Linked DNA regions of Caenorhabditis elegans. The protein of the gene in region 2 interacts with the protein of the main gene of each other region in a pairwise test. Each region holds a gene or a part of one and is shown on either strand. Other genes may lie near its edges.

What was found. Proteins that work in one complex are often made in the same cells at the same time.
Region 1: the proteins of C32D5.10 (region 2) and mpz-4 interact in a two-hybrid assay, tested with the Caenorhabditis elegans proteins (one large-scale study listed by BioGRID).

The regions. Positions count from the first base shown.
Region 1 is NC_003282.8:4,824,942-4,829,053, forward strand, and holds mpz-4 (PDZ domain-containing protein), read right to left. Parts: upstream 2,380-4,112; 5' UTR 2,325-2,379; coding exon 2,223-2,324; intron 1,925-2,222; coding exon 1,814-1,924; intron 1,766-1,813; coding exon 1,548-1,765; intron 1,501-1,547; coding exon 1,352-1,500; intron 1,297-1,351; coding exon 986-1,296; intron 941-985; coding exon 765-940; intron 721-764; coding exon 579-720; 3' UTR 547-578; downstream 1-546. Other genes in the region: tat-2 (Phospholipid-transporting ATPase), read right to left, coding at 3,135-3,170, 3,586-3,703, 3,810-3,907.
Region 2 is NC_003280.10:6,348,659-6,353,866, forward strand, and holds C32D5.10 (putative RING finger protein C32D5.10), read right to left. Parts: upstream 3,330-5,208; 5' UTR 3,293-3,329; coding exon 3,153-3,292; intron 3,109-3,152; coding exon 2,827-3,108; intron 2,776-2,826; coding exon 2,454-2,775; intron 2,404-2,453; coding exon 2,272-2,403; intron 2,230-2,271; coding exon 2,064-2,229; intron 2,019-2,063; coding exon 1,914-2,018; intron 1,842-1,913; coding exon 1,804-1,841; intron 1,700-1,803; coding exon 1,633-1,699; intron 1,588-1,632; coding exon 1,098-1,587; intron 1,050-1,097; coding exon 997-1,049; intron 950-996; coding exon 912-949; 3' UTR 549-911; downstream 1-548. Other genes in the region: C32D5.11 (RING-type domain-containing protein), read right to left, coding at 4,104-4,177, 4,226-4,634, 4,684-4,755, 4,838-5,208.

The sequences.
Region 1 (4,112 bases), on a different chromosome or scaffold from region 2:
CTTTTTTATTTCATAAAACTATTCAGCATAGTCAAAAACACCAGAATCTGTCAATCAAAGTATAATAGCTTGTACGGAAGTATTTTTTTAAAAATTGATAAAAATATATAAAAGCTGATTTTTTCAAAAATTCAAAAGTCCTGTAAAATCATATGGAGTCATTCTTTTTTATTTCATAAAACTCTTAAGCATAGTCAAAAATAGCAGCAAATGCCGAACAGAGTATAATAGCTTGTACGGGTGTTTTTTTTTAATTGATAAAAATATATAAAAGCTGATTTTCAAAAAAATTTTTCGGAAATTTGAAATGATTGAATAAAACAATCTAGCTGAAATTAATGTTTAACTAAAGTATTTTCCAAAAAATGTTAAATTGTTCCATCACCGATGTTAGATTTTCCAATAATTAAAAAAAAAATTTTTAGGTGCGACCCATCATTGGCTTTTTAGCGGGCCTTCACGTACATTTGGTTAATGTCTCGCTTTTAGCGCTTTACCTGTGCTGTCTAACACACAGAAGGTCGGTGGTTCGAGCCCGCCCGAGATCAGTCAAATGTTTTATTAAAGAAGAATGAAGTTCATTTTTTAACCGGCATGTTCGAAGATGCCGATTCGGTCACCTTGGTCTTCAGCGGCGGGAGCCAAACGAAAAGCTTCGAGTTCCATTCCGCCGGAATAAAAAATTCTTCAGTTGTGTTGTTGAATCCAACAGCCGGGTCCCTGAATTAGTTGAAGATTTTATCTTAATTTATTTAAAAACATACTTTTTGGTAACTTTCGCATCACTCTTCTTCTTCCCAACTTCTCCCGGCCCTTCTTCCTCTTTTAAAATGGGAGCCAACGCTTTTCCATTTTTCAGAGCTTCAATTCCTTCTACAAAGTATTTACGGACATCTCCACAAAGCAAGTATTGCGGTCGTTCGGCAGTTCTCATAACATTCTGCAATTAAAATAGAAGAAAAAAAATGTGAGGCAAATAACCAACTGCAAGCTGTCCCCGAACCATATTTTTGATTGGATCCGTATTCGGATACTCAACCAACAATCGAATCCATCCATTCGCCTCAAATCCTTCGCGAAATCGTTGACGATTATCTGCCAGAGTGTTGATTGGTTTATCATCAACAGCAATAATAGCTTCACCAATATTCAAACTACAATGTGAAACTGAATCCGGAATAGTGTAGTTGACCACCACTTTTCTGTCGACCTGCTGCACGTTCAGACCAAGCTGCAGGTATTTGAATTGGTAGAGAATGGCCAAATCGATGGTGTGATCCTGTGTGGCTAAGATACCTGAAATTATATGAAAATTACTGTTTCACAATAAGAAACAAATATTCAAACTTACCATTTGGAATCTTAGACGTAGACATTCTGTTCTTCAATCTAGCGACCAGAACCGTAATCTTTGTCTCAGATTTTGAGTTCAAAATCTTTCCGACAACAACCTTGAAGTCTGGATAAAGTGAATGTGGTGCTCTCACAGGTTCAGTTTTCCTTAATAAGGTAAATATTTTTCAAGTTTTCATAACATTTGTCCTTACGGTGTAGTCGTTGGCTTCCTCTTAACAGTCTTCACATTTGACTGGAGACTTGCTCCACCGGTGGTCTCGTCGACATGCTCTGTCAATTGTTTCTCATCGAATGAGACAGTCGTACCGTTCACTTGCAAGATGATGTCACCCGGTAGAATTGCTCCTTTGAATGGGCTCGCGTAATGAACACGAGTGACCAACCCATGTCGATTGACGAGTCCGAGTTGCTGGAAATCAAAAACGTTTTACATAAAGTCATTGATGATGTCGCTTACCGTTATTTTATCCTTCTTTGGGAGCTCAAATGTGGCCTCTACAAGCATTTTGTAGCTGTTTGGAACTGGTTCTCCACGCAGAATGACCACATCTTTGACTCGAGCTTCTATCTGAAATACGTGTTTCTAGAATAGAAATAACTTTTAAAATAAAATTATGTTTCACTACTAGTGTACCATTAAAAAAACCATTAAACCATTAAAAAAAAGAAAGTTTGATTCTATAATAAAATATTCTTTCGAACACCCCCGACTGCCTCAATTACTTAGTTCAAGAAATATTGTTCACAATGAAGAAAAATAAATTAATTATTAAAAAAATCTTGAATAAAGTTCAAAAATTATTATTCAAATTTCTCACTGTTTCGATTCCAAATCCAACTTCCAAATTCCAAAAAACCCCTCTCACCTCTCCCTTCTTGAATCCGGGCCGCTCCCAAACCGTGTCTATTCCCTCTGCACCTTCCGGATAGATTTTATATTTGACTGCAGGTGGAATTTCTTGTGGCATCTTTTCAAGCTATCAAATGCTTTGAATTGAATTTGTTTGATACTTGAATTATCGATTGTTGTGAAATAAATTAGAATCGAGAAGAACAATGATAAGAGGGGGTGGGGGGGAGGGAATAAAAAATTAGAGCAATTGATCGAACGTGAAGATAAAATATCAAAGGTCAGAATTATTAAATCTTTTTCAACGTGATTTTCTAACTTTTTTTTAGAACTGAACTTATTGAGAATGTTTTCGGCATAAAACTGCAAAATCGCGTGATTCAAAATCAATCATTTATGTTTTATGTTTTTTCTTGGGACACGATTCGTATGGAATCGTATTAAAATAAATAAATAAATAAATCGTTGAAACGTGTGAGTTTGAAAATTACTTACCAACGAAGCAAATTAAATTGTGAAATCCAAACTTTTTCACCAATTTCGAGAAACTATAGAATTTTTTAAAAACTGTTACTTTGTGTTACCTTTGTTAAAAAAAAGTAATAATAATGTCTTGAAACTGCATTTTTTTTTGAAATTTTTTTCTGCCACTGCTTGTTTAATTAAATTTTTATAGACACTGATATATTAATCAACAACAAGAATATGAACAATTATTTATTGAATATTTCAAAAATTACACGATTGGAATACATCATAAATTACCCATTTTGATATCAATCACATTATCAGCGATCACCAATTATATAATTACAGCAAATTGAAGAAAAAGAGCAAACAAAACCCAATTGAGAGCCTAAAACCGGTGCCTACAAGACGGGGAAGAATGTTTGAAAGAAAATCGGAAAATAAATGCAAAAAATGAATTTTAAAGGCGAGTGATTACGTCTGGTTGTTCTTCGACCTGTTGGAAAAATAAAATATTATATTTAGAAAAAATGTATCAAAAGTAAATTTATTGCAAAAAAAATGAATTAAAGTTGAAAACTAACAGAAAAAGGGTCAAAGCACAAAGGGTTCAAATGAAAGCACACACTGCACTGCACGAGATCAAAAAGTAGGTCAAAAGTGAATAAATTACAGTATTCCATAGGAGTACTGTATGTTGAATAGTTGTAATCTCAAAATGCATAAAAATTAATATTTAAAAAGAAAAAAATTAAGTTCTAACTATAATAAATAAGTAACACACAAACACAAGTACACACAAAATTAGATAATTTGAGCAAATTGAAACAAATAAGAATTCATTATGAAAATTATTTACAAACGCCAGATTTGGATAAAAAGCGGCAGAACCGGATGGAGCACAATTATACCTGAGTTTCCCGCGAATACACGTGGTTTCTATGGCTCCGTCCATCGCCACGGATTACTGTACCCTGCAGTGGTGATGGTTCCTTTGCATAGGCTGGACGGAAATCCGATGATTGAGACCTGTGAATAAATGGCACACAATAGAGTTACAATAGAAGTACGGTAAGTATATCAGAAGTGAAGCAACGTGCTTTAGAAGTGTGTAAAATTTTATGTGAAAACTTACCAGTCATCAGTATTTACATTCAATGTATGGGGTACATTCTGTGGACGTGTACCCATTGGAAGGTGCATTGCATTAATACTTGAAGCTCCTTGGCTGTCCTGAAATATATTATATTAGAAGGGCAAATGGATAATTTTTTGTAAAAACAAAACTGAAAAGTTAGCCCATAAGTATGTTACCCTTGAGATTTTAAAAATTACTGCTTCAAAGTTTTACTGCCTTCAAACAAAGTGAAAAAAAGTTTTGTTCGAAAAATTTAATGGAATGTTTCAACAACATTATAAATTAATAAATATGATTACT
Region 2 (5,208 bases):
GGTTTGAGAGAAGTAGAGCAGCATGGTGTAGAATCATCGGGGTTTCAGGTGCCGATCGACAGATTGTTTGTTCTTAGATTCTTTTGATAGGAAATTTTAAACGTTAGAAATGATCAAAAGTGATAAAAGGTTAGAATAACAACTAGACAACAGTTGGTATTGAGTATGTTTTGCTATTAAAGGAACATAATATGCTAAAACTAAACGAAATAAACGATATATAACTACTATATCCATACAATAATATGTAGGTGGAAAGTGCATTAGCGACATAATTCTAAAATAAAGAGTTGGAGCAATGAGAGCATCATCCACATTCACAGCTGTCACCGTGACGTAGAATGTAATGAACTAGAAGAGGGCATTCAAGACCAGCTGGTAAAACGCTAGAACTGACAATATAAAACAAATCAATTAAAAGATCTTAAAGACATTAGGGTGCACTCCATGTAATCGATCAGAAAGGCAAAAATATAAAAAGGAACAAGATAAAAATTTGCCGGAAGCAAACCGAGAAAAAATATTAAAAAAATAACCAAACAATAAACCAAAGGTTAAAAATTTATAGACAGTCAATAGTGACGAAATGTTTTACACGGACAGAAGTACAATAATCAGAATAAAGCTATAAATATAAATAAATAAAAAATGATAGCTAACATGGAGAAACAATAAAAATATGAAAAACGCTTTTTTCTTTGAACCGTAAACAACGAAAATCTAAAAATTGCCGAATAAGTTCGCTTGTAGCCCAGGATGGAACATTTGGAAACTTGCTACTACGAAACATCGAAATGTCAGAAAAAATAAAAGTAAAAAAGTTGTAAAAAATTATGATATGCCTAGGAAAAAGTTTGAAAACTCGTCGATATCCGCCTTTTTAATTGATTTAACAGAGATCAAATGTCGATTTACTGTCGCCTTGAAAGTGCACCAGTTCGAGAGAGATCTGTAAAAATTAGTTATGAGACTTGATCTGCAATATGACAAACTTACAACTTGCTAGCTGTAACATATCATCAGGTTTGAACTTCGAAATGTCTGGAGCACTGAAATTGGAATATTACATATCCACGATAAAATCTTTTCAAACCCACCTTGAAGTGCTTGGCATTGGTTTGTTAATCCTGATAATGGCTTCTTGTGCTGCGCCGACAAGCATATTCATTGATTGTGTTAACGGCATATTGTACTTCGCGATCAATTCCTGAACATCGTCAACAAGCCCCTCAGGTAACTGGCTGGTTTTGGCCTTTTTCCAATGATCTTCTAATGGAAATTCGTACTTTCTCTTCCTGTCGGCACTACCATTTGCTACAGGTTTAGGAAGTGATCGATTCGAATCATCAAGAATAATAGTATCATCACGTTCAACAACTTGAATCTCTTCATCGCTATCTTCCTCACTATTTGAATACGTTCTTGGCTCATCACTGTCTTCTCTGTCATCATCATCCACATCGACACCATCATTATCATCATCATCGTCAATTTCTACTACACTGTCGGATCCACGACTTCGAGCAGAACCAGCACCTGCTGAAGATGTCGTTAATTCTGCCCATGGAATACCAGCGATTGGTAATTCTGTAAAAATTTAACTTTTTGAAGAGCCGATCTGAAAAATCTTACGTGACGGCACCGGGAGCGGAGCTGGCCTGAACGGATTCGTAGCATTAGGGCCAAGACGAAGAGGAGCCTGAAAGTAGATGTCATCGTCCTGGTCGGTGTCAGATGATGAGGCAGGATAATGCTACAATGTAAACTTACACTCAACAGGTCATAAAGGGGCGGCAAACTCACTTGCGGTTGTCCTCGATACATGTGTCCCATGGTAGATCCTGAAAATTTTATTTTGAAGTTTTAAATTAAAATAATATTTTAAAAGCATATTATGATAAAAAATTAAATACCAAAAACTCGGTCGAATGGTGTAAAAACCGGGAATCGGCGCGACCTGTGGTTTGATCTATTTTCTTCGGGTTCAAGCTCAATTGAATCGTCGACCGTCACAACATCTGGAAGATACGATTTTTTGAAATTAAGTACAAATATGATTCTACCATTTCCAGCACTTTCACCTCCGCGATCTGTTCTGATTCGATATGTTATGGCACCGCACCACTCCAAAAATGACTTTCGACTGTTAATCAAAGACTTCAGCTCAGCAATAAATGCAATTACAACCCGACATGATACAAGCCCATTCAATGCTGCATCAACTTCTCTCTGAAACATTTCAAACTTATGGTAAATTTGTTTTTGAACTACCGCATTAAGATCACGCGTTCCACGATCTTCAATCATACTGAATATTCTATTGATAATCTCTTCGTCTTTTCCCTCGGCCACATCATGAAGTGTATAAAAATACCAGCTATTTTCATTGTCGACACGTGGTTGCTGAAATACTTTTCATTAGAACACTTTTATGTTTTAATGGGAAACGTTACCGTCTTCGCCGGAAGGGATTTCAACTCGACGCTCAAGAAACTGTGTAAAACTGCTCGATAGTGATCGATATTATCACGGAATTCAGTTTTCGACAGAGAATTAGTTGCATCTGGCAATCCTTCTGATATAACTTGACGCTCATAGATCAATCTTCGGAATGCGGCTTTTGAGACAATTAATGCTTTTGCTGCTCCATGATCAATGTCGTCTCGGAGCATTTGCAGGGAGTTCAATTGTGAGACACACAGTTGTTTCATCGAGTTCAACTCTTCTAATCGTGGCTTCCTTTTTTGACTATCAGATCTACTTGATGTTGCTCCACTAAAAGAATGTTCAAATACAATTTGTATATTACTCATCGAAAACTCTTACATGATCTCGTCAATTTGGTTCATTAGCCTTCGACAACTTCGAATTTTTCTCGACACAATTCTCTTCTCAGTCACAAGATCTTCTGAAGCAGTCGCTGCTGGCTCTCCTTCGGATTTTATTTGCTGGACGGTTATTTTCTCATCGGTTCCTTTCCGTTGGATGAAGCTAACTGGTGTTTTGCACATTGGACAGAAAGGACCGGATCCCTTCGTGAGCCAGCCTACAATGCAATCGTAGCAAAATTCATGGCAACAATCACTCAACGAGGTTGTATCGATAATTCTGAAATAAATCAATTTTTAATTAATACTATTGAATGAACTTACTCATTTTTGCATACCGAACACTCCTCTTCCGGTTCGTCGATTTCTTCTTTAGACTGGGGACTTTCTGTCATGTTACTTTCTCCAAAATCCTGAATTGTATTCTTTTTCAGTGGTGATTCACTTGTGCTCGGAGAATCCATTGAGCTTTTCAATTCTTTTGAGATTTGAAATATTCCTCTAAAAAATAAACTATCGGAAATTTTTTAGTTTCTCACAAATATTTTTCAGTTTGCGCAAAATTTTCAAGTTTGAAAACTCTAACTAATTTTTCCCATATTCTGGTTTGAAATTTCAGTTTCTCTTTTAAAAATTAAATTAATAAATTAAAATTAATATCAAAGAAAGAAGGTAGTCGAAGTAAAATAAAAAAGCCTAAAATGTTGATAAAGATGGAAGCAATCAAATAGATCTCATTGGAGCGCACAAGCATAGTTTTGAGATATTTGAATTTTTATAAGGAAATTTCCCTTAAAAAATGGAAAGAACAGAAACCGGATACAGAGAAAACACTCACAAATAGATTATTATGAAAAATTGGAAAAAAAAATAGTTGGGTGCATCTTTTGGAATTTTCTAGCTTATAGTAAGTTTTGTTATTATTAGATTCGTTGCTCTCAAACAAAACATCTTTCTCAATAAAACATAAATAATAAAAAAACACACAGAAAATACCAAAAACCTGTCTATAAAACAGTTTTCACAAACTGATTCGCTCAAAATATTATTTTAACATTTCATTAAATATTTTAATAAAGTTTTTGAAAAAAGCAGAACACATAGAATGAAAAAAAACGGGGGTTGAGTAACATTTGAATGTACATGTCACAAGGTACAACTAAACAGTGAAGGAAACGGGTTGTTTAAGAAGCGAGTGTACATTTATCCATACAGATATAATGTTTAAGAAACTCGAACAAGATTATTTTTTTAAATGAGCGTATTTCTTGGATATTAACGTCTATCACGACGAGAGTTTGTTGATCTTTTGGCTGGTGGTCCCTCGGGTGGATGCCCGTTTTCGGCTGCTGAAAAATCAAATTTCGGTAAAAAACAATTTAAAGTTAGAAATTTACCTCTTCTTGCGGATCTTGTTCGATGAGCAACCGAAATAAAGTCAAGTCCATTATCAGCATCCTCCTGATTTATGGTTGCAACAATTTCCGCAAGTGATCGAGATTCTTCGTCAGATATAGCGGGTGCTGGAGTTGCTGGACGAGGAATTTGTGTCGGTGCATTGCTTGTGCTAGCATGTTCTTGAATTGCTTGATGAGTTTGCTGCATATTTTGGTAAGCTCTGTTGAAAAGTTGTTCCACTTCTTCGATTCTTTGCTCCCGTGGTGGCTGTGGGAAATGTCTTCTCTCCAAAATGCTTCTGGTTCGGTTTAAATGCGCGAAATCATTACTCGTCATAGTTCGCGGCTGATAAACAGGTATACTCGTAGATGATGTAGTGGTTGAATTTAACCGTGGCGAGAGCATAACCTGAAACAATTTTGATGATATTTTATGTTTATATATTTTTTAAACCAACCAATCCAGAATAACCATCAGAAGTGAATCGTCGACTTGTATAATCCGACGATGCAGGGTGACGGAAGAGACTCTGAAATATAGAAAATCTTCAAGTTTTACTTACTATTAAATTAAATACATTCACTTCTTTATAAATTCTCAATAATACTCACCGAAAGCCCTCGTGATCGATTATCAAATTCCCGAACTCTTTGTAGAAGTCGATCTCTTTCGATTTCGCGGCGTGTCTGGGGCCGACTCTCAATCGGCGGAATCTCTTCGTCTGTCGGACGATCGGAATCTAAACGTCTCATTGCAGATCTCAGCGTCATATGACTGCGAGAAGTTGTCGGTTGCTGTGAAATAGGTAAAGTTCTAGTAGTTTGTCCAAATGTTACAGGCTCAACTGGAACCGGTTCTTCTGTAGTTGGATATCGAACACGAACATCTCGATCACGCATCATGTGGTAGGCTCTCATTGACAGCGGTACCCGATTTGGCATTTCCAGCATTTGTTCGTAGTATGCTCGTGCCAACGATTGTT